Anolis sagrei: one gene and its partners. The protein of the gene in region 1 interacts with the protein of each later gene in a pairwise test. Links are inferred from orthologs where the notes say so. Each region holds a gene or a part of one and is shown in the gene's direction. Other genes may lie near its edges.

Region 1 (6,825 bases):
TATTAATAATATATTATATAATCTAAAGCCTATTTGGATAGGAAATAATAATATAATTTATTATTAATAATAATTTATTATATATAATATAATATATTATAAAATTAAATATAATTATAATTATTATATTATTAATAATATATGATCTAAAGCCTATTGTTCGGATAGGAAATAATAATATAATATAACAATTATTATTAATAATATATTGTTATATATAATATAATATGTAATATAATTATATAATATAATATAATAATTATATTATCAAGAACATATATAATCTAAAGCCTATTGTTTGGATAGGAAATAATAATATAACAATTATTAATAATATATTATGATTATATATTATATAATATATTATATAATTATATATAATTATATAATATAATAACTATATTATTAATAATATATAATCTAAAGCTTATTGTTCGGATAGGAAATAATAATAATAATATATTATTATTATTATTAATAATAATAATATATTATTATTAATAATAATAATATATTATTATTATTATTATTATTATATAATATATTATATAATTATATATAATTATGTAATATAATATAATTACTATATTATTTATAATATATTATTATTATATATTATATAATCATATATATATATATATATATAAATATTAAATCTCCTTTCCACACTGGACAGTTATACCACTTTGATTCCGGTTTAACTCCCAATTGGGATGGGTTGTCTTTGGAGTAGCGATTGTGCTGATGATGCTTCAAAATGGTGATTGTTGGCTGTTTGGTTGTTGATAGCACGGTTGTTTCGTTTTGTTTTGATATTCAGAAGGTGTAAATCCATTGTGTTGTTTATACAGACTATTTTTATTTAAAAGTGTCATGTCTCTTTAAATAATTGCGCCATTTCCATTTTTGCTCCTGGCACTGCGCCTGCGCAGTCGGGCTCCAAGAAGTCCTGGCTGCCTTATGCCGGGCATAGGCTTTCCCTCCATCTTGGTCCCTGGCGTTGCGCATGCGCAGTTGGGCAGTAGGGAGGCGATGAAGCCAGGCGCAGAATGGGATGCTGTGCTTGGGCTTTCTCTCCATCTTTGTTCCTGGCACTGCGCACGCGTAGTTCGATACCAAGAAGCCGGGACGTGTGCCTTCCATCTTTGTCACTGGCATTTCGCACAGGAAGCCCTGGCTGGGTTATAGGCTCCATCTTTGTCTCTGGCTCCACGCAGGCGCAGTTAGGCACCAGGAAGTGCTCCTTCCATCTTTGTCCCTGGCATTAGAAGATGCCGGTTTCATCCTATATAAATATATACAGACTGTTTTGATTTATTATTTTCTTTATTGAGAACATGTCTGCATAACATAAAGTACAATTAGCATACATTAGAACAGGAATATACATTAAAACAGTTTAGTTTAAAGTTTTAATTGGATTTAATTATATATCAGAACTTTTATAGAACTTTTACACATTGGACATACAGATACAGATTTTCTGCAACTACATTGGATTCACAACTACTTACAGTTACATCGGCTAACAAACAGACAAAGAAAGGGAAATTACATCTTGACCAATATGCCGATGATAACGTAGTCTGTGCGCATTCAGAAGAAGACCTACAAAGTCTGTTATGGAACTCCAATATGCTGATGATAACGTATTATATTATACGATAATATAATATAATACAATATTATGATATGATATGATATGTAATTCTATTATATATATTTATTATAATCCAATATAATAATAATAGAATCCTAATAATAGGATCCATCTAGTCCACAGCGCCATATTGCACTGTATTATATTATAATATAATATGATACAATATGATAATATATTTATATGATATGATATATAATTCTATTATAATTCTATTATATATAATTCTATTATAATTCTATTATATATATTTATTATTATCTGAAGGGGCCATTCTAGTCCACGGTGCCATATTGTATTGTATTGTATTATATTATATTATACGATAATATAATATAATACAATATTATAATATATGATATATAATTATATTATATATATTTATTATAATAATAATAGAATCCTAATAATAGGATCCATCTAGTCCACAGCACCATATTGCACTGTATTATATTATAATATAATATGATACAATATGATAATATATTTATATGATATGATATATAATTATATTATAATTATATTATATTTAATTCTATTATATATATTTATTATTATCTGAAGGGGCCATTCTAGTCCATGGTGCCATATTGTATTGTATTATATTATATTATACTATAATATAATATAATACAATATTATAATATGATATATAATATGATATAATATGATATATTATTATAATATGATATATTATTATCTGAAGGGGCCATATGTAGTCCATTGTGCCATATTGTACTGTATTCTATTCTATTATACTATACTATAATACAATACAATATTATAATATATGACATATAATTATAATTATATTATATATCTATTATAATCTAATAAAATTTATTATAAAAATGACATCTCTACACAAACACACAAATATATATACAGACACACAAATAGACAGATATATCTCTACACACCAAGCAGATATACCTTATTATTATTATTATTATAATCCACAACCTGTTCTATCTTGTGTGCCATTATTATTATTATTATTATTATTATTGATATGTATCCATTATTATCATTCTCTACAATAAATAATAATAATAATAATAATAATAATAATACAACCTATTATGACCTCTTCTTATCATAATCTATATTCATTATTCGACAATACATATATACCTTATTATTATTATTAATTATTATTATAATCCACAACCTGTTCTATCTTGTGTGCCATTATTATTATTATTATTATTGATATGTATCCATTATTATCATTCTCTACAATAAATAATAATAATACAACCTATTCTGACCTCTTCTTATCATAATCTGTGCTCATTCTTACCTATTTATAATGATACTAATAATACAGCATATAATGGCCAGACAGTGCTTGGAGCAAACAATCAGGCACATCTAATCACCTCTCAACAAAAGATTCCCCCAGGCACTGCCAGGCCATCCAATGCTAATCAAGGTGGTCAGTGGAAACATTCCCACCAAGCTCCAGCAGACAAGAGTCCTTAGTCCCACCCTGGTCATTATTCCACAGATATATCAACCCATTTTCCTACTTCCAACAGACCTCACTACCTCTGAGGATGCTTGCCACAGATGCAGGCGAAATGTCAGGAAAGAATGCCTCTAGAAGATGGCCATATAGCCCGAAAAAACCTACAACAACTCAGACATCTAATCACCTCTCAAGAGAAGATTGCCCCAGGCACTGCCAGGCCATGCAATGCTAATCAAGGTGGTCAGTTGAAACATTCCCACCCAGCTCCAGCAGACAAGAGTCCTTAGTCCCACCCTGGTCATTATTCCACAGATATATAAACCGTTTTTCCTATTTCCAACAGACCTCACTCCCTCTGAGGATGCTTGCCACAGATGCAGGCAAAACGTCAGAAGAGAATGCCTATAGAACATGGCCATATGGCCCGACAAAAACCTACAACAAGGACACCTAATCACCTCTCAACAAAAGATTGCCCCAGGCACTGCCAGGCCATCCAATGCTAATCAAGTTGGTCAGTTGAAACATTCCCCCCTAGCTCCAGCAGGCAAGAGTCCTTTGCCCCACCCTGGTCATCATTCCACAGAGATATTCCCTCTTCTTCTTCTTTTGGGGGAAGCGGAGGGGAGGGGCGTGGCTTCGGCGTGGCCCCGCCCCCTCTGCGCCTCTCTCCGCCGGAAGTGTGCCTGGGGGCGGCCGGAAGTGGGCCAGTGCGCGGGGATGGCGGAGCTGAGGGGCGTCGCGGGGGCTGCCGGGGAGGGAGGGGCGCCGGAGGGGGCGCAGGAGGGTCGCCCCGCGCTGATCCGGGTGACGGTGAAGACCCCCAAGGACAAGGAGGAGCTCCTCGCCCCGGAGACACTCTCCGTCAGGGAGGTGAGACCGGGGGCGGGGCATCGAGCACAAGGATTTGCATTCGGGGGCGGGGCTTAGAGCCAGCCTATTACTATGCAGGGAGGAGGCGTGGCCTGGAAAGGGGCGGGGCCCGGAGAAGAATAACCCTTGAGAAGGATTTGAATTGGGGGGCGGGGTTTGAAGAGAGTGGGCGGGGCCATTTACTAGACTCAACTTATTAGCATTCAGTGAAGGGGCGGGGCCTGGAAAGGGGCGGGGCCAGGAGAAGAATAACCCTTGAGAAGGAGTTGTATTCGGGGGCGGGGCTAGGAAGAGGGGCGGGGCCATTTCCTATTACTATTAAGGGAGGAGGAGGGGCCTGTAAAGGGGCGGGGATTTGTAGAGAGGGGGCGGGGCCATTTCCTAGTATTCAGTGAAGGGGCGGGGCCAGGAGAAGGATTTGCATGCAGGGGCGGGGCTTAAGGCCACCCTATTAGTATTCAGGGGGCGGGGCCTGTAAAGGGGCGGGACAAAAAGTTTTAAAATGCCTTTCCTACTATTCAGGGGGCGGGGTTTAAAGAAAAGGGGCGGTGCCAGGAAGGGGGCGGGGCCATTCCCTAGAATCAACTTATTAGTATTCAGTGAGGGGCGGGGCCATGTCCTAGACTCAACCTATTACTTATTCAGGGAGGTGAGCAGGGGGCGGGGCGGAGCCACGAGCAGATTTGCGTTTAGGGGGCGGGGCTTAGAGCCAGCCTATTAGTATTCAGGGAGGAAGCGGGGCCTGGAAAGGGGCGGGGCCAGGAGAAGAATAAGCCTTTCCTGGAGAAGGATTTGCATTCAGAGGGCGGGGTTTGTAGAAAGGGGTGGGGCTAGCAAGTGGGCGGGGCCATTCCCTAGAATCAACCTATTATTATTCAGGGAGGGGCGGGGCCTGGAAAGGGGCGGGGCCAGGAGAAGAATAAGCCTTTCCTGGAGAAGGATTTGCATTCAGGGGGCGGGGTTTGTAGAGAGGGGCGGGGCCATTTCCAAGAGTCCACTTATTAGTATTCAGGAGGCGGGGCCTGGAGAGGGGCGTGGCTAGAAGTCTGAAAAAACCTTTCCTTGAGAAGGATTTGGATTCGGGGGGCGGGGCTTAGAGCCAACCTATTAGGGAGGGGCAGAGTCTGGAAAGGGGCGGGGCCAGGAGAAGAATAAGCCTTTCTTTGAGAGGGATTTGCTTACAGGGCGGGGTTTGAAGAGAGGGGCGGGGCCATTTCCTAGAGTCAACCTATTACAATTCAGGGAGGAGGCGGGGTCTGGAAAGGGGCGGGGCTAGAGGTTTTGAAAAACCTTTCCTGGAGAAGGATTTGTACTCAGGGGGCGGGGCTAGGAAGAGGGGCGGGGCCATTTCCTAGAGTCAGCCTATTACTATTTAGTGAGGAGGAGGAGGGGTCTGTTAAGGGGCGGGGATTTGTATACAGGGGGTGGGGTTTTAGAGAGGGGGCGGGGACATTTCCTAGTTTCTTAGTATTCACGAAGGGGGCGGGGCTGTAAGTTTTTAGAAGCCTTTCCTGGAGAAGGATTTGCATTCAGGGGGCGGGGCCAGGAAGGGGCAGGGCCATTTCATAGAGTCAACCTATTAGTATTCAGGGAGGGGGCGGGGCCTGGAAAGGGGTGGGGCCAGAAGCAGAATAAGCCTTTCCTTGAGAACTATTTGTATTCAGGAGGCGGGGTTTCTAGGGAGGGGGCGGGGCCATTTCCTAGAGTGACCTTATTAATATTCAAGTAGTGGGTGGAGCCTGTAAAGGGGTGGGGCCAGAAGTTTTAAAAAGCCTTTCCTCAAGAAGGATTTGCATCCAGGGGGCGGGGTTTGTAGAGAGGGTGGGGCCATTTCCAAGTGTCAACCTATTAGAATTCAGGGAAGGGCGGGGCCAGAGGTTTTTAAAAGCCTTTCCTTGAGAAGGATTTATATTGAGGGGATGGGGCCAAGAGGGAAGGGCGGGGCTAGGAAGAGGGGCGGGGCCAGAAGCAGAATAAGCCTCTTCTTGAGAAGGATTTGTATCCAGGGGGCGGGGTTTGTAGAGAGGGGGCGGGGCCTTTTCCTAAACTTATTAGTATTCCGGTTGGGGGAGGGGCCAGAAGGAGAATAAGCCTTTCCTTGAGAAGGATTTGTATTCATGGGCGGGGCTAGGAAGAGGGGCGGGGCTCAGAGCCAACCTATGAGTATTCAAGGGGGTGGGGCTTAGGAAGGGGCAGGGCCAGGAGTAGAAAGCTTTATTCTATTCGTCTCCAGGGGCCGGGCTTGGAGTGATCTAGAACCTCACGGCCCCAAGTTTGGGCAGAAGAAGGGGGCTTGGGTGTTCTAGAACCTCACAGTCCTACGTTTGGGCAGAAGAAGGGGGCTTGGGGTGATCTAGAACCTCACAGCCCTAAGTTTGGGCAGAAGAAGGGGGCTTGGGGTGATCTAGAACCTCACAGTCCCAAGTTTGGGCATAAGAAGGGGGCTTGGTGTGATCTAGAACCTCATGGTCCTAAGTTTGGGCGGGGGAAGGGGGTCTTGGTGTGATCTAGAACCTCATGGTCCTACGTTTGGGCAGAAGAAGGGGCTTGGGGTGATCTAGAACCTCATGGCCCCAAGTTTGGGCAGAAGAAGGGGGCTTGGGGTGATCTAGAACCTCGTGGTCGTAAGTTTGGGCAGAAGAAGGGAGCTTGGTGTGATCTAGAACCTCATGGTCCTAAGTTTGAGTGGAGGAAGGGGCTTGGGTGATCCTAAGTTTGGGTGATCCTCATGGTCCTAAGTTTGAGTGGAGGAAGGGGCTTGGGTGATCTAGAACCTCATGGCCCCAAGTTTGGGCAGAAGAAGGGGGCTTGGGGTGAT
Region 2 (7,764 bases), on another chromosome or scaffold:
ATTTGAGATTAATATGAGGTGCTACTTCTGCCAACTTGCAAAGCCAAGTATTTTGATTTAAATAGGAAAAAAGTATCTTGATAGATTGCAGACCACCCATAATTAGAAAAATAATTAGTGTAAGACTGAAATGGTGTTTCGAAAAAAGGACCATACAGAAAGGTCAGTACAGATTAAGTATCCCTTATTTGAAATAGTTTGAACTAGAAGTGTTTTAGATTTTGGATTTTCTTTTCATATTTATGTTTCATATAGACACATGCAGAGCCTGAAGGTAATTTTATACACAATATTTTTAATAATTTTGTGCATGAAACAAAGTTTGTATACACTGAGCCATCAGAAAGCAAGGGTGGCACCAATGTAGACAATTGTGAAGTATTTTGGATTTCTGGATAAAGGATACACAAGCTGTAGTTGTAGATTGTATATAGTACAGGGCTTTTACAAGTTTAATCCTGAAGAAAAAGGATAGAATACAATGAAGGCTCAGAAGATGACCAACTTAACCTCCTTGACCTTCCAAATATCAAGATAGCTATCAATTTCAAACATGGCTATTGCCTCACTATAGTAGAGAATCATGTGCATTGGAGGAGCATCTGAAGACAGACTTAGATTTGGGCACTTTGCTTTGCTATTTTCTTTGTTTTCCTCCCACAAGGGAACCAATGTGTTGGAAGGGGACAACTGCAGGTGAAACCTGCTTGACATAACTTCGCTTCATGGAGCTTTCTGGTACCAGATATTTTTGAGGTTTTGTAGAGCATGAAAGTTACAATAGTACTGTTCCAAATTCCATGTGGCACCCTAAATCAGTGTGGAGATAAGCATTAGAGTTGTTCACGGAACTATTTTCCTTCGGTACATCTGTTCTTTCATTACTTTTGTTATCTTCGAGAGCATGTAACAGAAGGCCCCTTCCGCTATAAAAATCAGCTCGATACGAAAGCAGGTGGGAGATGATCCCAGCTCCTCACCTGCTTTTCATGAGCATGTGGCACTCCATGCCTTAGAAAGAGTGCATGTGTGGCATTCAGGCCCAGAAAGTGCATATGTCTACCTGTAGTCAAGTGCCTCCTCTAGAGTAAGAAACAGGACTTGCCTCCTTGCCTTGGAAAGAGCATGCGTGTGGTGTACAGGCCCAGGAGAAAAAATGTGCATGCCTGCCTGCAGCTGAGCACCTCTCCTCTAGAGTAGAAATAGGTAAGAAGCCTCCTTAAAGCATGCACCTGCCTGCAGCTTAGCACCTGTCCTCTAGTGTGAAACAACTTAACTGCTGAAAAGGATGGAAAGGGGATCCTAGGAAGTCCCCACCCCCATAATGGGCCAATAGAAAATCGATCTTTCAGCACCCCAGAGTGAAAACATATATCTGCCCTCCTGATTTCGGGAGGCTCTCAAAAATGGATTGGGGCCCCCAACAAAAGCCGGGGCATGAAATGGGTCAAGGTTTATCCCAAATGCAGAAGCCTAATAAGCATACGAGAACACAAATGGGCAGCCTTCAACCCATAGGCAGCAAGTGGCCCCTTTTTGTATCCTTGAAGACCTCTGGACAATTCAAAGTCCCCAAATGCCCCTTCCCCCAGTGTAATTTTTAAAAAGTGTATATTTCCCAACCCACCATCAAAATGTACTACAACGTGGCAGCTTGGAATAATTTGCCCATCAGTGACCATCCTTCCCAACCTGGACAAATAACACAAAGTTGGCTGAAATCAAATTTATTTATTTATTTATCTGAGTCAATTTTAGCCCCACTTTTCTCCTGCAGCAAGGCGAGACTCAAAGCCACTAACAATACAATAAGAACATACAAAGTAAAAATTAAAACAGATTAAAACTCAAAAAATTCCTTATAGCAATCTGATCTAAAACAGTCAGCAATAAAACCCTATTTACAAATATAACATAAATATTTAAAACAACTACTCCATTGGGAGCCAAGTTCCTGTACTCTTGGAATCTAGAGAAACAATTTCTGAATCATAAGGAATTTAACACAGTGGCCAAATAGGGATGGGGAGGAAGTTGGCTGCCATTCTCAGTGCAGTTGTTCATCTAGAAACTGAAGTTTGTTGCCTTCCTAGTCCATAAAAGGATGAGGCATCTCTGGCTGGAGGCTTTCATCTTTCAGCCTTCCAGCTCCTACTACTTCATATTTTTCTATTTTAATTTTTTTCATCCCACATTGCTAGGAACAGAGCCAAAGAAGTAGCCAAATGAGTAGATGAAATAGTATCATATGACATGAAAGATGAGTGTAGAAGATTGGGATGGAAATATTCACTTATTTCATTCTGCCACACAGGAGCCCCTGGTGGCACAGTGGGTTAAACCCTTGTGCCGGTAGAATCGAATCTGGGGAGAGTGTGGATGAGCTCCCTCTGTCAGCTCCTCCCCATGAAAGAAGCCTCCCACAAGGATGGTAAAAAATTGGAACATCCGGGCATCCCTGGGGCAGTGTTCTTGCAGATGGCCAATTCTCTCACACCAGAAGCGACTTGCAGTTTCTCAAGTTGCCCCTGACATGAAAAAAAAAATCCTCCACACAAGAAATGATATTTTCAAAGAAAAATGTTATCTTGCTTGGGTGTAGGTTTGCCACAGTCAGAACTGAAGAGGGCTTCTATACCTTTAGTATAGAAGAGGAAATTTCAGCAGGTGTTGCTTTTACCTGATTGTGCGATAAGCAACACCTGCTGAAACGCCCTTCATTACACATCATTAAAAGTGTCGGAGCCATCTCTACTTTTCAGTCTGGCAATTCTAATTGGATAAATTTATGAAAGGTTTTGCACATTTTCAAATGATATTTTCTTTTCCAGGGCATTCTGTGAAACATTAGTTGGCTAAATATCTTGGGTTTTTGTGCCAAACTTGGCTTTCCTACAGAAGACAATGTCTTTTGCATACAATATGCCATTTTCTGTACAAAACTATTTTCTATATAAAAAACTAAAAGAGTCATAACAAATGTTTGCTTTTTCACCAAAAGTCCCAAATTATGATCTTTTTTAAAGTTGACAGAAGGAAAACTGGAGATGCTCCTCTACCTTTAATGGTTGTGCTAGGAGATAATTTTAGCACCTACTGCTTGTCATAAGCAACACCTTCTGAAATTCCCTTTTCTATAAAACCATTAAAGGCACAGGAACTTTAGATTCCAGAAGTGGTGACCAACTGACCATATCATGAAGATATGGTCAGTTTCAAAAGAGATATGTGTTTCAAAAGAGTCAGCATAGTGTAGAGGTTTGACCATAGGACTATGACTCTAGTGGCCAGCTTTTGAATCTCCTCTCAGTCATGAAAACCCACTAGGTAACTGAGCAAATCACATGTTCTTAGCCAAACAAACTCCCGTAAGTCAGAAATGGTTTGAGGACACACAACAACAAATATTTTTCAATTTGTTGAGGTACCCTTTCTTGTCATGAAAAGGAAAATACGTGTGCATTTATTTTAGGGGTCTGCATGATATCAGGTTGCTGTTCCATATTGGGGAATTTGGTCGAATTGACAGCAAAATCCCCAGAAATGGGGTGGGTGAGGGCAGCCAAATATTCCCAGAGTGAAAACAGAACTTTTGGATGACTAATCAGGAAACATTATTTCCTCACTCCCGAATTTGGGATTTTCCCAATAAATGGGAGAAGGGCAGAAAACGGGACCAGAAATGGGATTTTTTTTAATGAATCGCACACTCCCAGTATATTTACACCTCTAGTGGAAGCAGAGATGTGGTAAAGAGGGCAAAGAAGAAATTATGGTCAGAATCCTGTTGAACAAAAAATACAGCAGTAAAATTGGACTGTATTATTTTCTTCAGCACATAATAAAGAATGCAACAGAGTGAAATTGGGCTCAAAATTTGGCTGAAGAGAAATGCATCTGTTTTCTATCCCAATAAGATTCTCTTGGTTCTCAGAGTCTAACTAAAGAGCTTTCCCCCCATTGTTAATATTTTGATGCAACAGATGCATTGTGAGCACTGGATGTATTGTGAGCACTAATGGATTTTGAGCACCATTGTGAACTTTGTGATGTTTTTGGTAGGGTTCCTCAGCTGTTATAGTGTTTACCTGAATAGACAGTCTTGATCTGAGACTGGTGGGAAGAGGCTTTGGCAAAATACATGCAAATTAGCTGTTGAGAAAGAGACATTTTGAGTTTCAATATGGCTTGAGAACAAAAGTGTAGCAAATGCAGGGATGAAGACATTGCTCTCCAAATAAAAATTTCTCATTCACCCACGAAAACATTATTTCAGTCTCCAAACTTTTAGCATTGTAGGAATTTCAACTGTCCACTGAGCCTTTAGAAATTTTATTTCAAGTGTCCAAAGAAAAAACCGGGCACACAAAGTTAACAAGTTAATACAAACATGGCAAAAGATAGGTATTAACCATGATCACTCTCTGAAATGCTAGAAATACTTCTCAGAGTGGCAAATCTGCCATTAGGTCGCTGTTTGTGAAAGGTGATAGTAGGTATTCATTGACAAAAAAAAGTTCAGTAGCTGATTGGATGCATGCAGAATCTCAAGTTGTTTGTTTATTTAGCTGCTGAATTTTACTTTTCCATAGTACTGCCTGGAAAAAGAAGAAGACAGAGAGTTCCTCTTCCATTCCTCCCCCTTTCCTGCTTTGCCTTGGGTCTTGGTGGGAGAGACTGCCCCTTGAGTGACCTGCTTTTGATAAGCTTCCCAGTCAGATCACATGAGTGAACCGTGCTCTTTCTCCCCTCCCTCCCTTTCTTTTCTCTCACTGGCTGGCTCTCTCTTTCACTCACTCTCTCGCTGCCTGCTTTCTCTATAGTCAAAAGCAAGGATCAGATTCTCTGCCTTGACTATAAACATTCTTGGTGAGAAAATTCAAAGGGAAGAGCAGGTGCATTGAGAAGGAGTAGAGGAAGATCCAAAGCTCAGTGTGGGAGGAAAAGAGTCCATCGTTTCAAGGAGGGCAAGAAAAAAGAAGTGGCAAACCACCTCTCTCACAGAGCCAAGGTGCACCAAAGCTCAGGACTCATCGCTGAGAGCAGAAGATAGTTGGACAGAGACGGGAGATTTTCTTGCTACTCAAAGTAAGTACACATTGGTTTGGCTTATTAAAGTCTGGCATTTACTAGCCCTCCTACCATCCATCTCCACCCCAACCAAAAATGAGAAAGTTGGGCAGAGATGCTAAGTTAACGCCAGGTTGATTTTTCTTTTGTGATACTATTTTAGCTTAAAAGGTTTTCATGGGTGGAGGAAGTTGATCGAGTGAAAGACACTTTGAGTTACTTGAAGATGTGTTTTTTGAATGGTGCTCTTCTGTCTAATGATGGGAGTGGTTGGCATCCTCCGAAAAAAAAAAAGACTTGCAAAGCTCTGAATGCCATATAGCATGCAATTCATTCTTCATTTGAGGAAAACTGAATATGGTTTGAGCGTTCCTTATCTGGAATCCTAAAATCCTCCAAAATCTGAAATTGTCCACATGGATGACAGATAGTTTTTGATAGTTCAACATACACAACCTTTGTTTCATATGCAACATTGTTAACAATATATTATATCAAATTACTTTACTGCTATGTCTATATGGTACAATGAAATGTAAATTATTTTTGTATTTATATGCACATCTAGTCTCCAAGATACTTCATTATGTATATATATGCAAAATGGCTATACCAAAATTGAAAACATTAGTTCCAAACATTGGAATAAAATTTACTCAATTTGTATTAGGATAGTACACCTACTAGAAGTACTGGTTTGTATCAACTCAAAAGGAGTCACATGAGGCAGGAATGTAAGTACCCTTCTTTAGTTCTTTCTCTCTTCTGTCTGTTTGTTATGAGAACATTGCAAAAGAAATCTAAAGATCTATCTAAAAATCTACCTAACCCCCCCAAAAATCAGTATATTTTGAGCCTTGTTGGTATCATTGGATAGGGTAAAGAGTTGAGTGATGTGTAGAAGAACCTGTTTCTCCTCAACTCTTAATTTGGAAGAGTGTATGTCCTTGTGCCCAGCCTTAAGCAGAGGGTGGAGCTTTCCTTACTGTCATCAGTACCAGCTCGTGTTGGTTACTTTTCCTTCTGCTCTGCTGGATGCATTGACATTTATAGGCTGATGACAACATGCTTACAGAGTATTGGACTCAGAATGAGTTTTTCTGGTGTAGCAATGTTAAATCATAATGTTCTGCTTCTTTGGTTCTACTTCTGAATCTAACTTGACAAGAAAGTTTATATAGTGCAATGCTATTATTGGTATGAAGGCCAGAAATTTACTGTAACAGGTTTTTCTTTCCTGTTCATATCTCAAGCTTCTTGGAAATAGCTCAGGTGAGCGTATGTATATACATACTAGAGATCAAAAGCATATTTGTAAACTTTCTTGCCTTCCCCTTCCACACACACACAAACACACACACTTCCCCTTTTCCCATAGAATTCAAGATGGCTAATATGGATATTCCAAGCACTCTCCTATCCAGGGCATTAACTAGCTTCAGGCCTGCTAGCCTTAGGGTGGTAGCTGCAGGTACTTTCAGGTGATGCTCTGGGAACAGAAAGTTACACGAAGGAAGTTATATATTGTTTCTCAGAAGTTGTGGAAATAGCATGAAGGAAGGGAGAATGGAGTGGCTAAAAAGTTATAAACAACGTCAACAATATTAAAGGCTAAAGTTGAGTCTCCTGGGTTCCAGTGTGAAAACACTACATAAAAAGTTGTGAACTGTTCTTTTTTCTTACTGTTACCATCCTGTTGTGTAAAGACCATCTGGGAGTTTAAGGCCGAGTACTTCTGGAATACTATGAAAAACATTACAGAGTAGTCACAGAATGTAGTTTGTCCTGCCATGGGTCTCCATGCAGTTAAAGAATTATAGGAAGAACAAAATGATTTGAATGAGAAAGTCAACTAAAGGTGATTTTATCCAGAATTTTGTGAACCAACTGGCTTTGTGGATTCTTTAACAAGCCTCAAGATTTTGTGTAGTAGTATTCTTGAAAAGCATCAATCAAAACCAGTCAAATTACCCACCCACGCTGTGGCATTCATGTTAATTAAAGTGGACTGGTTCCTGGAAAGATCAAATATCTGAAGTTTGAATAATGGATTCAAGCTTTCTTATCCAAAAACTGTCCAATTTGGTCTGGAAGCAGTTGCAACTGCAATTGCCCCAACCAGTCCTCATCAACCCCCACACTTGGAAACAGTTAAAAGAAAATATTGGCATGCATTTCCTGCCCACTATTGTTGCATTCTGGGTATTACCCCCTTTCTTGGAACTGAACAGCCAAATCAGGATGTTGTTTTTCAGGGATTCTGTTTCATCATTGGTACTCTGATTTCAGAGCACATCACAGAGTTCAATTAAAATCTGGTTTGATGTTTTAAAATTAGGGTTGCAACAATTAGGGCATGCATACATGGCTCCTACATTCAGAGAAGAAGAAAAAACTAGAAATGAAAATCTGCTGCTATTTCCCACTTTCAGATGTTTTAAATCTCAAATTCTTTGTAAGAACTTGCCAGGAATGAAACAAATGCAATGATCAGCTATCTGTACTGGCCAAATTCAACAGGAGAAGAGTGTATCATTTCTGCCTGGTATGTATCCGTTAAAGATAAAGAATGAATCAGGACAAACAGTGGTGGTGTACCTAATTTAGTACACAAATGTGATTCAATACACAGTGATTAAAAACTATATAAGTTATAAGATTTAAACATCCAGAGCCCTAGTTAAATATGAAATT
Region 3 (7,098 bases), on another chromosome or scaffold:
CAGCCCAGCCATTAATGACAGAACAAGAAGAGTCCAAAATCCTTGCAAAAGAAGAGCACAGTAGTAAACATTGAAAGCTTAAAATACAACATTAAAAAGATAATACACAGGAGTTATTGCTAGAAAGTAGAAAAACAAAGGAGGTAACAGGCATACAATTGTCTAAATACAATTCTATCTACACATATTTACTCAGATGATGAATGTGGAATATTCCCATATAATACCTGGACCATTACTTCTTAAACTGAGGGTTCTGGCCTCAAATGGGGTCCCCTTAGCTCTATGTTGGGTTCACGACAAATTTGGTAACAATTTTCTTTCTGAATGCCACCTAGATATTTACAACAACTCTGTTAGCAACAACTCTGCAGAAATCGCTGTAGCTATATTGCACAAAAAAGGAAAACCAGACTGTTCAGCAAGCCTTGCAAATGCTGATTTATTAGTAAGTGTTTGATTTATATAACTTTTTATATACCTATATAGCTGGGGTCACATAAAAATTTCCTGGGAACCTTGCTCCAGATAGTAGCTTCATAGTATTTTTGACTGCTTTATTCATAGCAAACAAGGAGTTAGCTTTCAAAGTACAGGGAATATATGTTGCCTTCAATGGAACGTATATCCCCCCACCCCACACAGTGCTTGTCATTCCAATCCCATTTTTGGAAAAAAAAAATCATTATACTCATAATTACCTCCTCTAAGGTGAGCAATCTCACTATGTTTTTGATTTTCCTATCCTCTGCTGGTTTAGACTGAGATCCTTATAACACTAGATTGCTATAGCAGTATGGTTTCACATAAACTACCATACCAATGGTAGTTAAAGGATCCTGGGATTTGAAGTTTAGGGAAGAGTACCTAGGATTCTCCACCACAGAGGTCTTTCCCCACCCCCCAACTAAAAACCTTGGAAATCTACAATATGTTGCCATGATAGTTAGACGTGAGACATTGTGCTATAAAAATGTAATGTAAGGAAAGAAGGAGGACCCTTATTAAAAAAGGAGGAAGAGGCATTTTTAAATGAGGAAGAATAACTTCTGCTTCTATATAAAGCTCCTCCTCCAGACTATAACAGACCAAGGAGAGCAAGCACATTTGTGAAAGAGAAAACTTAAAAGTTGTTTTTGGTTTTAAGGAAAAATTTAAAAATATAGGTGGTGGTGACCTCAATTATGGTCTTGTGGTTACATTATACCCACCTCACTCTAAAGCACTTAATAATTCATTTTATACTAAGTGAGTGGGTAGAATAACATAAGACACTTAAGGCATAAATCAAGATAACTGTAATGTGATTTCAGCATACATGATTTGTTATAATTTTAAATTTACAAATGTAGGCATGCTTGGAAATATTTTTTTGGAATATGAATGGAATACATATTAGCACTCATTGAACATTATAAACCTCAAATGTAGGATATTTATTTTGATTATTAATTAAGGTGTTGGATAATTTTACTGTTCCTTTAAAAAAGAATCATTTTTAAAATATAGCAGTCATTGATCCAAGAATGAGTAATGCACCAGTAAGTGTTCCACAATGAATGAATTTTAAAAATGTCTTACCTAAAATACTTGTTTCTACAGTATCTTCAGCCCTTGCTTTTTCATATCTCAAATCTGCAAGGAGAAGGCATGGTTATCTACAGTAGCCACTGGGACCTACCCTCAGAAAACATTTTGAATATCTTGCTTATGTTTTTTTTAAGAAAAGAAAATCATTTTGTCTCTTTGCAATCATGAAAATTGGCCACATCCTCTCTTTCCTGAACTTCTCTATGCTGTAGCCTGGGTACATTCACCTGTCTATAAATATATGTACATAGAAACTCCTATGACATCAAGAATGCCTGAGTGAAATTTAGCTTTGAATGTGGTAAATAATATGTATATCGTGTAGAATCAGATCCCATATGATCTTGGAAGCTAAGCATGGTCAGACCTGGTTAGCACTTAGATGGGAGGCTCCCAGTGAAATACAGCCAACAGGTGCTGTTGGCTGTATTTCAGGGAAGAAACTGGTAAAACCACCTCTGAGTATTCATTGCCTAAGAAAACCCAATCAAATACATGGGAACGCCATAAACAGTCAGGTAGTCTAAAGGCATGTGCATGCACACACACACCAGGGCGTGTAACCATCCAATATATTATGAAGCAGGGGCCTAAATACCTAAAAGCACCAGATCTTCTCTGATCTTGGAAGCGAAGTTGTATCAATACTGCTTACTACAAGGATAAAGGACCATCAAGGATTGATGGATGCTGTATACTTTATTTCAGATGAAGAAACTATCAAAACCTCTGAGTATTCCTTGCCCTTCACAGGCAATGCGACGACAAACACTACGCACATACTATAAATAATAATAGCAAAGACTGAGGTATCCGTTTATCCAATATGGGGGATATTTTTCTTCTAAAATTCCAGAGGTTGGCACTATATTTGTATTAATAAGCTACAACTGAGTCTTGCTTTCCTGTGAACTCACTGTGAACCTTTAGCCAATCACGCATGACCCATCATAACTATGCTTGCGTAGGGTGACAGTAAACTTTAGAATTAATTCAGATTGACACCGCTTTAACTGCCATGGCTCAATGCTATGGAATCCTGGGAGCTTGGTGAGGCACCAGCACCTTTTGGCCCCATCTAGTAAAGGTTTCCCCTGACATTAAGTCTATTCGTGTCCAACTCTGGGCGGTGGTGGGGGGTGCTCATCTCAATTTCTAAGCCAAAGAGCCGGTGTTGTTCGTCGACGTCTTCAAGGTCATGTGGCTAGCATGACTGCATGGAGCACTGCTACCTTCCCGCAGAAGTGATACCTATTGATCTACCCACATTTTGCATGTTTTCGAACTGCTAGATTGGCAGAAGCTGAGGGTAATAGTGGGGGCTCACCCCGCTTCCTGGATTTGAACCGCTGACCTTTCAGTCAGTAAAGTTCATCAGCTCAGCAGTTTAACCTGCTGTGCCACCAGGGGGACATTTGGCCCCATCTACAATGCTGTATAATGTACGTCACTGTACTGAACTGTATTATACGAGTCTACACTGCCATAGAATGCAGTTCAATGGAAGTGCAGATGGGGCTTCTGGCAGAACAGGCCAAAGACCTTGTAAACCTATAACTCTTGGGAAGAATTGCATTGATCCATGGCAGTTAAACTGGGTGTCAAACTGCATTCCTCCTCCAGTGCAGCCATGTTGCATCAGATCCAGTTCAGGAGTGAACCACTTTGGGGCTTAAGCGATTGAGGGGGGGAAGGACGGGGCCTGGGGCTGTTTGGAATTGTGGGAGTGGGGAGCCAGAACTCCTGGAGGGCCCAATTTGGCGTTTCTCGGCGGGTTCCGAGCGCCCCCCGCCCCCCCAGCGCTCACCTCTCAGCACCAGGCAGCCGAGGGCGAGCAAGAAGGCCAGGAAGGTCACGGCCAGGAGGCAGCAGAACACAGCGCAGATCCTGCTGGGCCACCGGCGCCCGGGGAGCGACACCCCGAGCAGGCCCGCCCGAGGAGAATTCGCGGGGGAGGCCTCGTAGCTTCGCCCAAGGCCGCCCAGCACGCCTCCCGCACCCCCTCCCTCGCCCTCCTCCTCCTCCTCGAAGTCCGCCTCCAGGGTCCGCGCCACCCCGCCTCCGTCCGGCGTCCAAGCCGCGCTAGGCCCGCTCTGGCTGGAGCCCCGATAGGACGCTGCCATGGCAACCGAACACTCAGGCAGGAGGGGCGGGGGAAGCAGAGGCCCACCACTCGGCCTACACCGGAAGTCTAGGCAAGAAAAAAGGTGGGTGGGGAAATCTAGAAGCCCCGCCTTTTCCTGCGTAACGGCAACGAGTGGCCTCCCATCATGCTCCGCGCCTTGAACCCTCCCCTTTTCTTAACCCTCACAACGGCTCTCCTTTCTCTTTGCCCGCCCCCTCCTCCTTTCCCTGGGCTAAGGAAGGGCCCTCTTGGGCTTCCGTAGCCCTGCTAGCGGAAGCCGCTTTCCCAGTGTCCTTTGCGCGGCCCGTCTCTTTTTTTCCCTCCCCTCCCCCTTCCCGCCTGTGCTTCCCATTCCTCCGCCTGAGGCCTTCTTCTGGTGGGACGAGGCCCGGCCTTGCCCGCCTGCCCGCGCCGCTTTGGCCTCCTGCGGCGAGGAAGACACAAGAGGGTTTTTTTGTTTGTTTCTCGGCCCCGCCCGCGCCGTAGGCTGACTTTCGACGACAAAGCCGCCCCCCTCCCCCCACTCCGCGCGCAAATTTCCCCCCCGGGGAGTTCCTTCCGCGCCCCTCTCCTCAGGCAAGCAGGCAGGCAGGCCGGGCCTAGGCGCTCGCTCGAGAGAGAAAGGGAGGGAGGCCGCCCGGCCGGCCATGTCAGGCGGGGACTCGGCGGCGGCCTCCCCGCAGGCGCTGCCCTTCTCGCTGCCCAAGCCGCCCCCCCTCATGCAGCTCAACCCGGGCGAGGGCGTCCGGCCGGGCCCTGAGCAGTCGCCCAAGAGAGGCCGCGGCCCCGACTGGCCCTCCGGGAAGCCCGTCAGCCTCTTGGCGCCGCTCCTGCCCCCGCGCGGGGAGCCCGAGCCCCTACTGCCCTTCGGGCCCGCTTCCCGCCAGCCGCTCCGGGGAAGGATGCTCGGCAGGTGCGGAGGAGGAGGAGGCGGCCCCGGAGGAGGAGGAGGCCCCGGAGGCGGGGGGAACCCTCTCAACCCGGCCATGAGGCCCGGAGGAGGAGGAGGAGGACCCGGTGGAGGCGGAGGTGGCGGCGGCGGCATGGGCCGAGACGCCCTCATGGTGAGTTTTGGCGTGGCCCTTGACCCCCACGCAGACTTAATGCAGCCTGGCGCCGCTTCACGTGCCTGCACACAATGCCTTGGGACTTACATGCCAAAAAGTGCCGGCGCCTCACCAAACTCCAAACTCCCAGGATTCCATAGCGGTTACAGTAATGCCAGGCAGCATTCATTCTCGTGCCCGTTTGGTTGCCGACCCTCAACTACACCCCCAACACTTTCCTCCAACCCGCTTTCGCAAGCCTCCCAATTTTGTGTGGTATTTATCCCTTTATGTCCTGTGGTCAAGAGCCCCTGGTGGTGCAATGGGTTAAACCAGTGGTTCTTAACTTGTGGGTCCCTAGATGTTTTGGTCTTTAACTCTCAAAAATCCTAACAAGTGATAAACTGGCTGGGATTTCTGGATGTTGTAGGCCAAAACACCTGGGTACCCACAGGTTGAGAACCACTGGGTTAAACCCTTACGCAACTGAACTGGTCGACCAAAAGGTTGGCAGTTCGAACCTAGGGAGCAGGGTAAGCTCATGTCAGTCAAGCTCCAGCTCCCCATGCAGGGACACAAGAGAAGCCTCCCACAAGGATGGTAAAACATCAAACATCTGGGCATCTGCTGGGCAATGTTCTTGCAAACAGTCAATTCTCTCACCCAGAAATGACTTGCAGTTTCTCAAGTCACTCCTGACACACACAAAAAACCTGGGGATCTATGGACCACCAGGACTAAAATATGGTCTGCATCCTCACTGTTACTACACCATTGCAATGAGAATGACTGGTCTAGCAAAACCCTCTTATAGTGCATAATAATAATCTTTATTTATATCCTGCCACCATCTCCCCAATGGGGACGCAGGGCGGCTAACATGAGGCCAAGCCCAAAAATACAATACAGCAAAATAAAATAGAAAGCAACAAAAATTACATCACAATAAGATACATGAAGTAACAAAATAAAATAAGTATTTAGTCACACCTAAATCTTTATGTACCAGGAAAATGTTTTGAATGGGTTCGTAGGTTGGTTGCTAAGCAATTTAGAGGTAGATACAGTACTTGATAATTGGTTCAAGTTCCAGATTCAATGTGTTCACTGCTAGTGGAGTAGAAAGGTAATATTTTCTTGATTCCTGTTAATATATAAACTTGTTATTGTACCTTTATAAAGCCATTTTTGTACCCTGACGCATGAGTGCTTTGAAGTCCTTTAAACCCTTAAGTCTGGACATAGGAAAATGTCAGAACCAAAAGCAATTTATGTAGACAAATGGAGGCTCAATGTAAGAAAAAGTTATTTTGCATGTGTGGTATTCCACACAATTGGTTTTATTACTCTTTTCTTCAGTCTCAGACAGCTTTATTATCTTCATGATGACTAGTAGTCATGTGCATTTGGGACATACCTTAATCCGTTTTGTGTCCCGGCTTTAGGTGGGGGGCCCAATCCGTTTTTGTCTGAGCCTCCTGAATTCGGGAGGTCAGATATTTTTGTTTTTGTTTTCAGGGCCAAAAGATCTGTTTTCTTTCAGCCTATTGTTGAGGGAGGAGACTTCACCCGTAGGCCCAAACTGCCTGAGCCTGTGGGTGCAGGCTTTGGGCCTATGCACCTGGGCCTTGCAAGGTCTGCAGCTGAGTGCCAAGTAAGGAGCGCTCCTTACTGAGTGCTCAGCTGCAGGCCCTGCGAGGCCGAATGCATAGCCCCACAGCTTGCACCTGTAGGACTGGGCACTTCGTACCTATGGGTGCAGGCTTCCTGGCCTACATGCCTGGGCCTGGGAGGGCCTGCAGCCAAACACCAAGTAAGGAGCACTTCTTACTCAGTGCTCGGCTGCAGGCACTGCCAGGCCCCAGGCAATTGATACAAAAAGCAGGCTTGGAACTGGTACCCACTCCCACCCCTGCCTTTCGTATTGATTGCATTTTCATTCCAGGTAAAACATGATGTTTTGGTGCTTCATTTGTAAAATTATAATATGTATTGAATAGGCTTTCCTTAATCCTTCCTTATTATCCAACATTTTCACTTAACCAATGTTCTGCCGGCCCATTTATGTTGGGTCCTACAGTATATATTGTATACAGTCAGTCTTCCCATATTTTCAGGTTTTGATTTGGTGATTTGAGTATGCACTGATTAATTGAAATGTTTTCTCATGAGAATATCTGTGCCTTCCAGTGCAACTTCTGTCGGAATCACACTGGAGGACCAAGACCAGCTCTCTAGGAATCACTAGATTGCTCCAGCATGATACTAGCCGAAGTTGACCATAGAATCATGCTGAGGAACCTAGAGATTCCTGGAGAGGTGTATTCTCGGGCTTCT
Region 4 (7,603 bases), on another chromosome or scaffold:
AGCTAAATCACTGTGCTGCAGAAAAATCCTGCTGTTTGAAAGGTCCAGCAGTTCAAGCTCGGGTCGGGGTGAGCACCCGCTGTTAGCCTCAGCTCATCTGCCCACTTAGCAGGTCAAAAGCAGACATGCGTGTAGATACATAGGTACCACTGTTAGTGGGGAGGGAATAAAGGTGTTTTTAAGGACATCGATCAGAGGAAAGCTCCTCGGCATGGAAGATGAAGCAACAGCACACACACGCACCATGGCGGGAGTTGAGCACAGCCTCCAAGATGTCAGAAATTAGATGGGAAAAACTGCCTTTTCCTCTGCTTTGTTATCTGTCCTTGTTAATTGTATAATTGGCATTGAATGTTTGCCATATGTGTGTTCTGTAAACTGCTCTGAGTCCCCTTTGGGGTGAGATGGGTGAGTTATAAATACTGTAAATACATACATACATACAGCATAAATTATTTGCAATAGGGCAAATTACTTTTTCACTGACATAAACACAAAAGGAGTTGGTGTACAGCAATGTTGTGTTTTGTGAGTATGCCCTATGCATTGCACACTGTGATTGTGCATTGCACAATGGCATCTGGTCATTGACACCTGTTTCACAATACTGCTATCCTTCAAGAGGATTGTATAGTGTTTGTGCAGCATATCTCTAAATGTGCATATTTACACTACACTTAGGAGATGTCAGATTACAGCCATTAAATAATAAAACTGTTGAGCTCAATAAACTTTGAAATGCTTTTAGAGGCCCAAATGGCTTTAAACTTCAAAACAGTTCAAAGGATCTTCACATTCTTGTCATAAACACATTCCAGAATATGAGGAGGGGGCATTTCACAATTTGGGAGCCTGTACACAAATCCCAAAAGGGCCTCTCCTGAAGATATTATCTTATCATCCAAAGTTCATAATGAGACTGACAGAAGATAACCAGCTGTCAAGCTGTTCGTGGCTTTAGAAGTTCAACTACCATCTTAAATAGAGCCAAGAGAGCAACTTGGAAGCAGCACAGATCATTCAGTAGCAGAATAATATTATCTTGTCATCCTGCCCCAGTTATCAGTTTAGCTGCCACATTTTGCATGAAATTCTGGAGTCTTTACAAGACTAGCCAGCCACACACATATTTATGTGGAAAGGGAGATAGATTAAGAATGTGCCAGCGCAGATTCATAGCACACAGGACTGTGTGACCCCCTTGATTTTTCCACAAATTTCAGCTGCAAAATAGAGCCTTGTTTGCAAGTTTCTATTCAAAACAACAACAACAAAAAACAGGGGAATAGTCCTACAAAGAGTGCATTGCAGTAGTCAAAATAGAATGCATTGCAGTAGTCATGTTATTTAACATCTATATGAAGCGGCTGGGGGAGATTGTCCGGAGTTTCGGGGTGTGGTGTTATCTGTACGCAGATGATGTCCAACTCTGTCACTCCTTCCCACCTGTTACTAAGGAGGCTGTTCAGGTCATGAACTGGTGCTTGGCCACTGTGACAGTCTGCATGAGGGCAAACAACTCCTAGAATGATTCCATCAGCGCTGCCTTTGGAAAATCCTGCAAATCTCTTGGGAAGACAAGCGGATAAATGTCAGCATGCTGGAAGAAGCAAACACCATCAGCATTGAAGTGATGATCCTCCGCCATCAACTCCGCTGGACCTGCCACGTTGTCCAGATGCCTGACCACCATCGCCCAAAGCGGTTGCTCGACTCCGAACTCAAGAATGGAAAACAGAATGTTGGCAGGCAGGAAAAGAGATTTAAAGATGGGCTCAAAGCCAACCTTAAAAACTCTGGCATAGACATTGAGAACTGGGAAGCCCTGGCCTGTGAGCACTCCAGCTGGAGGTCAGCTGTGACCAGCAGTGCTGCAGAATGAGGCACGAATTGAGGGCAAAAGAGAAAAATGTGCCAAGAGGAAGGTGCATCAAGCCAACCCCGACCAGGACCGCTTTCCACCTGGAATCCAATGCCCTGTGAGAGACGATGCAGATCAAGAATTAGGCTCCATAGACACCTATGGACCCACCCTGGAGGATTATCCTACTTGGACAATGAGGGATCGCCTAAGAGGGCAAACAAATTGAAATTGAATCCAGACAAGACAGGGGTACTCCTGGTCAGTCGTAAGGCCGAACAGGGAATAGGGTTACAGCCTGTGTTGGATGGGGTTACACTCTCCCTGAAGACACAGGTTTGCAGCTTGGGTGTGATCCTGGATTCATCGCTGAGCCTGGAACCCCAGGTTTTGGCAGTGACCAGGAGAGGATTTGCACAGTTAAAGCTTGTTCACCAGCTGCGCCTGTACCTTGGGAAGTCTGACGCTCTGGTTACATCCTGTGTAGACAACTGCAATGCTCTCTATGTGCGTAAGCTTGAAATGGTCCAGCGTGCAGCAGCCAGGTTACTACCGGGAGCTGTGCTCAGGGAGCATACAACTCCGCTGCTGCGCCAGCTCCACTGGCTGCCAGTTTGCTACCAGGAATAATTCAAAGTGCTGGCTTTAGCCTATAAAGCCCTAAATGGTTCTGGCCCAGCTTATCTATCTGAACGCATCTCTCACTATGAACCTTCCAGGAATTTGAGATTGTCTGAGGAGGCCCTGCACTCGATTCGGCCTGCTTCACAGGCACGTCTGGTGGGGATGAGAGACAGGGCCTTCTCTGTGGTGGCCCCTCAGCTGTGGAACTCTCTGCCTAGGGATATTAGATCAGCCCCCTTCCTCCTGACCTTTCGAAAAAGAGTGAAAATCCGGCTCTTTAGCAAGCATTTGGAACTTCAGCATGACCAGATAAACTCAAATTGGAATATGAACTAGGAATGGCTAAGACGTTGGAACGGTTGAGGAATTGAACAAGAAGACATAGTTTTTATAATTTTTATTGCTTATTGCTTTTATATTTTTAAATGTATTGTGATGTGATTTTTTGCTTTTAACCGATGTATGTATTTTTATATATGGCATCTAATTGTTGCCAATCTGAACGCCGCCCTGAGTCGCCTTCGGGCTGATATGGGCGGGATAGAAGCGACGTGAATAAATAAATTTTAAAAAAGTAACTTCATTCAGGCATGGGTGATTATTGTCAAGTCAGTTTGATGAAGCAAAAACACTCCTAGCTGCCATTGACAGTCAGAGCTAATCCATGATATTTTTAAGGGACAATCACTACCACTGTGGTACTGAAACACTTGCTGATTGAGCTGATTGCCATTCACTGCCTAGCAGAAGGACCAGCCCTTCTTGTGCCTTCCCACTTGAAACTGATATCCAGAACAAATGGCTGACCTTTAATTAAGTATCCTTCTCTTGAGGTTTTCAATCAGAGGCTGGATGACCATCTGTCTTGAGTGCTTTGATAGCATAATCCTGCATGGCTGAAGGAGATTGAATTGGAAGGTTCTTGGGATCTCTTTCAACCCTCTGCCCCTGTGAGTCTAATTCTCCTTGTGGATACTGCAACCTATGCTGATTTTCATGCAGCAGTCTAGCTAATGGGTTGTTGTAGGTTTTTCAAGCTGTTTAGCCATGTTCTAGAAGCATTCTCTCCTGATGTTTTGCCTGCATCTATCGCAGGGATCCTTAGAGGTTGTGACATCTAGCTAATGGCATCCAAATGCTTCTAGGTAATGTGAGATGTAAGTAAATGAGGGCCATAAACCCACTTCAGGTTTTAGTCTGTATTTTAAAGGATCTATCCAAGGTGCTAAATTCAATACAAAAAACAGATTCAGATGCTTTCTTTACAGTTCAGAATAAAATCTAGAATGGATTCCCTTCCCCAGAATGTAGGAATTACCAGGTGTGATTGCAATATGGGCTAGCTGTGTGTGTGTGTGAATATAGACAGAAACCATGCCTTCAGGGTTGGTGGACAATTTGTTTCAGCTTTCTGAATCAATTTCAAAATATCACTCATTTGCGCCAGAAGAGTGACAAGGAATTTTTAGTAGTCCAGTGAAAACCAGCTAAATACATAGATTATTCTACTCTGAAAAAGGTCGCTATTTCTTACTTTTTTAAATTCCAAACTCCCAAAATAAAAAAACACTAAGACATTTACAAACAAATTTATTACAAGCCTTTTCATCATATATATTTTTGTGTGCACATGTGTGTGTATGTATGTATTTTCTGGCAATACTTATGTGTATAATTTCAATAAACAAACATAGTAATAAATAAATCCATCAGTGTGGTTGGTTAAATTTGACCTGCTCCATCCTGAGCACCTATTGATTTGTTTTAAAGCAATGTTGTTCTCCATCCATTTAAAAAAAAAAACTGGCACCGGAAGCAATGTTATTTCTCCATCTCATAAATGCCAAAGAGAGCTTAGCCTCTAAAACCCTTTGGCTCGAGACTGAACGCTGGGCATTGATCTCCAGCTCTGGTTAATGAGATTGTACATAAGTCATGTTTTAACCATAGAGTAGGTTCTTGTTTGCTCTGGAAGCCACAAACCCCAAAAGGAAATGTAGGAGAATAGTGGGAGGACAGTGACAAGAAACCTCATGACCTCATCCCTTCCGCCTGCCGAGGATTGGCTGGCCGATGTCTGGACTAGAGTTTAAATTCCAGAGGTTTGCAGATAGAAATCAGCCGAAGAGGAGAAAGAAGACTGAGCAGCATCTTCTGAAGCAAGCCTTAGGCAGTGCCTTGAGCTTCACCAAAGCAGTTAGCATCAGACCTCTGCCTGAAGCTACCCTCCAGATCCAAGCTTAACTTAAGGTACTTATGCTCTTTTTTATTATTCCTTGTTGGATTATGTTATATTTTCATAGAGTTGAATGTGATGCAGCAAATACTTGGGGGAGGCTTTAAATATGCAAATTCCTACAACCTCAATGAATCATGACAGAGAAAGGGAACAGTGAGCACAGTATTAAATGTGTTTGCCAGCACCTCTCCTGTTTCCACTTGGAAGAATATTAAAGGATTTAAGGAGGAAGTGGTTTGCAGGAGGGAGTGCTGAAGTGCCACTTAGAGCTACAAATTTGGTCTTCCTGCATTTTACCACTGATGATTTTGAATGTCACATATTTTGGGCACAAGAGGTATTCTATATTCTGCCAACCCTGCTAATAAATTGCTAGTGTTTGCAATCTAAGACTTTACACCTAAAGGAAGCCAGCGTTGTTCTATGGTCAATATACTGAACAAGCAAATTGTTAGGTTACAGGACAGAGCTCAAATCCCCACTCATTGGGAGATTTTGAGCTAGTTCTTTCTTAGCTTAAGATGGGTATATGATGCATGCTGTCCTGAGATCCTGTGAAGAAGAGAAGTCTAAAAACATAAGAAATAAGCATGCCAGAATGTGCTGTTTTGTGCTTTGGAAACAAGGGTTGCCAGCTGTTTTGCTGTCTGGGCTCCTGTGCCTTTAAAAGCTGTGTATTCAATGGTTAAATGTTCATCCTCTCATTTAGCTGCAAAGGCAGGAGGAATAAATGGCAACAAATTGGCAACCCTTTCCTATAGCTCCAGATAAGATGCGACACAATGAAGTCATTCAGTAGTGATGGAAAGTGATTCTGTATTTGTCTCAAGGACATTCCTTTGTTACTTCATGTGTTTTGGAAGCAGAGCTCCCATAGATCCAGTCTTAAATGAAGTTCTGTGAGTTCCAAAGAGGATGTTCCACCACCTTTTCTGCACCATTATTTTGTATAAAATGCCTTTTCAAATTAACCCACACACTCCTGGCTAATAACAGTCCCATTATCCTTGCATTTAATAGCTGAAAAGGCTGAGGTGCCCACTTGCCTCTTCAAGAGTTTCTCCTCAAATGTACTTTGGTGCAATGTTTTCATATTGATTTTCTCTCTCATTAACCTTGTGAGCAGACAGGGAGATGTGCCAGCTTCCCCATCAGTCTGCCTTGCCATCATGATTCATCAATTTGTGATGCTGATGTCCCCTGATTCATCACTTTTATTCCTTCAGGGTCAGGACTGAGTAATAGGATCACTCCTGACTTGGAAATTCTAGCTTGTTCTGTCCAAATAATGCCTTCGAATGAGGAATGGATTGATTACACAACCCATTAATTCTGTGTTTGACAAAGTCAGGCAGAAAACAAAACTGTTAGCAACTCATTAATTTGGTAGAGAGCTTATGCTCCTCTGCCAAATTAATGCTTTTTCTCTAACTAGAATTTCTACAAACTTTTGCCGCATTTGCCTGTGGTTATTTTTATTAGCCAAGATTTTTCCTCCAGTAATTTCAGTTCTTGTAGAATTCCATGGTGCTATAATGGAGATGCAATATTCATCTCCATGCAGTTACATGCAAAAGCTTATAGAATCACAGAATCACATCATGGTAAGAGACCACAAAGGCCATCTAGTCCCCTGACATATAGGAATACACGGTCAAAGCACTCCTGACAAATGGCCACCCAGCCTCTGTTTAGAACCTCTGAAGAAGGAGACTCTACCGTATGCCGTATTCCACTGTCAAACATCTTGGATAGTTTGGAAGTTGTTCCTAATGTGAGACAGAACATGTATCTACATTACAGAATTAATGCAGTTTACTTTAATTGCCTTGGCTCAATGCTATGAAGTCATGGAGTTGTAGCTTTGCAAGTTCTTTGCCAAAGAGTGCTGGCACCTCACCAGACTACAAATCCCAGAATTCCATAGCATCGAGGCATGGCAGTGCTGTCGAACAGCATGCATTCTGCATTGTTGATGCACACAGTGTCTTTAAAAACACAAACATCCTTCAGTCCATGTTGTTTTTCTTTGCCAAATCTGCATCGTTTTCCCTTCTTGTTGTTCTTGTCATAGATCCCTTGCTAATGGAGGGCACTAGTGGAGAAGGAAATACAAGAATAGGGTCAAAATCAAGGTGTTTTGGATACTGAGAGAACTCCACTTCCCTCCTCACTTGGCCATGCACTTCAGTAGATATTGGTGATTATTCCTGATGCCAATCCTGTTTGCATAAATGCATATTCACTGTGTGCTCAGTTTCCCACTGCAGTCATGTGCTGGGTTAGGCCACACCAAGGGCATGTTATCTGCAGAGGTCATCTGCTCAGTATCTCTCAAACCAAGCAAATCGCTGACAAGAAGTCAAATCTAGCTCAGCTATTCAATAAGGGCATACTATCTTCTCTTATATTTTCAAGTCCAAGGACACAGAAACAGCTCAAATTTGATGTAACATTTTTCTTCCACCAAGGGGCATGAGCAGAGAGATATTGAGAAGGGAGAAATTCCAATGAAACAAAAAAAAATACTCAAGGAACATTTACAAGAAATACTGGAGTCTTGTTTGAATATCATTCAGGTTGAATCCTTTTTAGAAACTTTGGCAAAGAAGAATCATATCTAATTCTATGGTCAAGAAAAAGTTTGTGGCAAAGTGGCCATATCACTTTTGTCTCTGACTTCAGTGTTTTTCATGGATACACATGAAATACTAGGATCTTAGAGAGGAATGTTTTTTTATATTTCATCATCCAGAATTTAAAAAAAAAAAAAACCATAGGAAGTACCAAAATATGAAATTCCCATTCTTCATTTTAAGATAGTAAGTTGCTACTTATGTCTAGTAAATTTCATGAATTTTTATAAGTAAAGCAATAGA

Evidence for each region.
Region 2: the proteins of UBQLN4 (region 1) and PTN interact in a two-hybrid assay, tested with the Homo sapiens proteins (2 studies listed by BioGRID and IntAct). The link is inferred for Anolis sagrei from reciprocal best matches to the Homo sapiens genes UBQLN4 and PTN.
Region 3: the proteins of UBQLN4 (region 1) and PRPF40A interact in a two-hybrid assay, tested with the Homo sapiens proteins (2 studies listed by BioGRID and IntAct). The link is inferred for Anolis sagrei from reciprocal best matches to the Homo sapiens genes UBQLN4 and PRPF40A.
Region 4: the proteins of UBQLN4 (region 1) and SPP1 interact in a two-hybrid assay, tested with the Homo sapiens proteins (2 studies listed by BioGRID and IntAct). The link is inferred for Anolis sagrei from reciprocal best matches to the Homo sapiens genes UBQLN4 and SPP1.

What each region holds. Positions count from the first base shown.
Region 1 is NC_090032.1:22,790,027-22,796,851, forward strand, and holds the start of UBQLN4 (ubiquilin-4), read left to right. Parts: upstream 1-3,815; 5' UTR 3,816-3,854; coding exon 3,855-4,007; intron 4,008-6,825. UniProt on the Homo sapiens protein: Regulator of protein degradation that mediates the proteasomal targeting of misfolded, mislocalized or accumulated proteins.
Region 2 is NC_090025.1:174,648,214-174,655,977, forward strand, and holds the start of PTN (pleiotrophin), read left to right. Parts: upstream 1-4,744; 5' UTR 4,745-5,088; intron 5,089-7,764.
Region 3 is NC_090021.1:204,090,465-204,097,562, forward strand, and holds the start of PRPF40A (pre-mRNA-processing factor 40 homolog A), read left to right. Parts: upstream 1-4,083; 5' UTR 4,084-4,362; coding exon 4,363-4,779; intron 4,780-7,098. Other genes in the region: ARL6IP6 (ADP-ribosylation factor-like protein 6-interacting protein 6), read right to left, coding at 1-41, 1,582-1,635, 3,398-3,713.
Region 4 is NC_090025.1:20,057,202-20,064,804, forward strand, and holds the start of SPP1 (osteopontin), read left to right. Parts: upstream 1-4,590; 5' UTR 4,591-4,735; intron 4,736-7,603. UniProt on the Homo sapiens protein: Major non-collagenous bone protein that binds tightly to hydroxyapatite. Appears to form an integral part of the mineralized matrix. Probably important to cell-matrix interaction.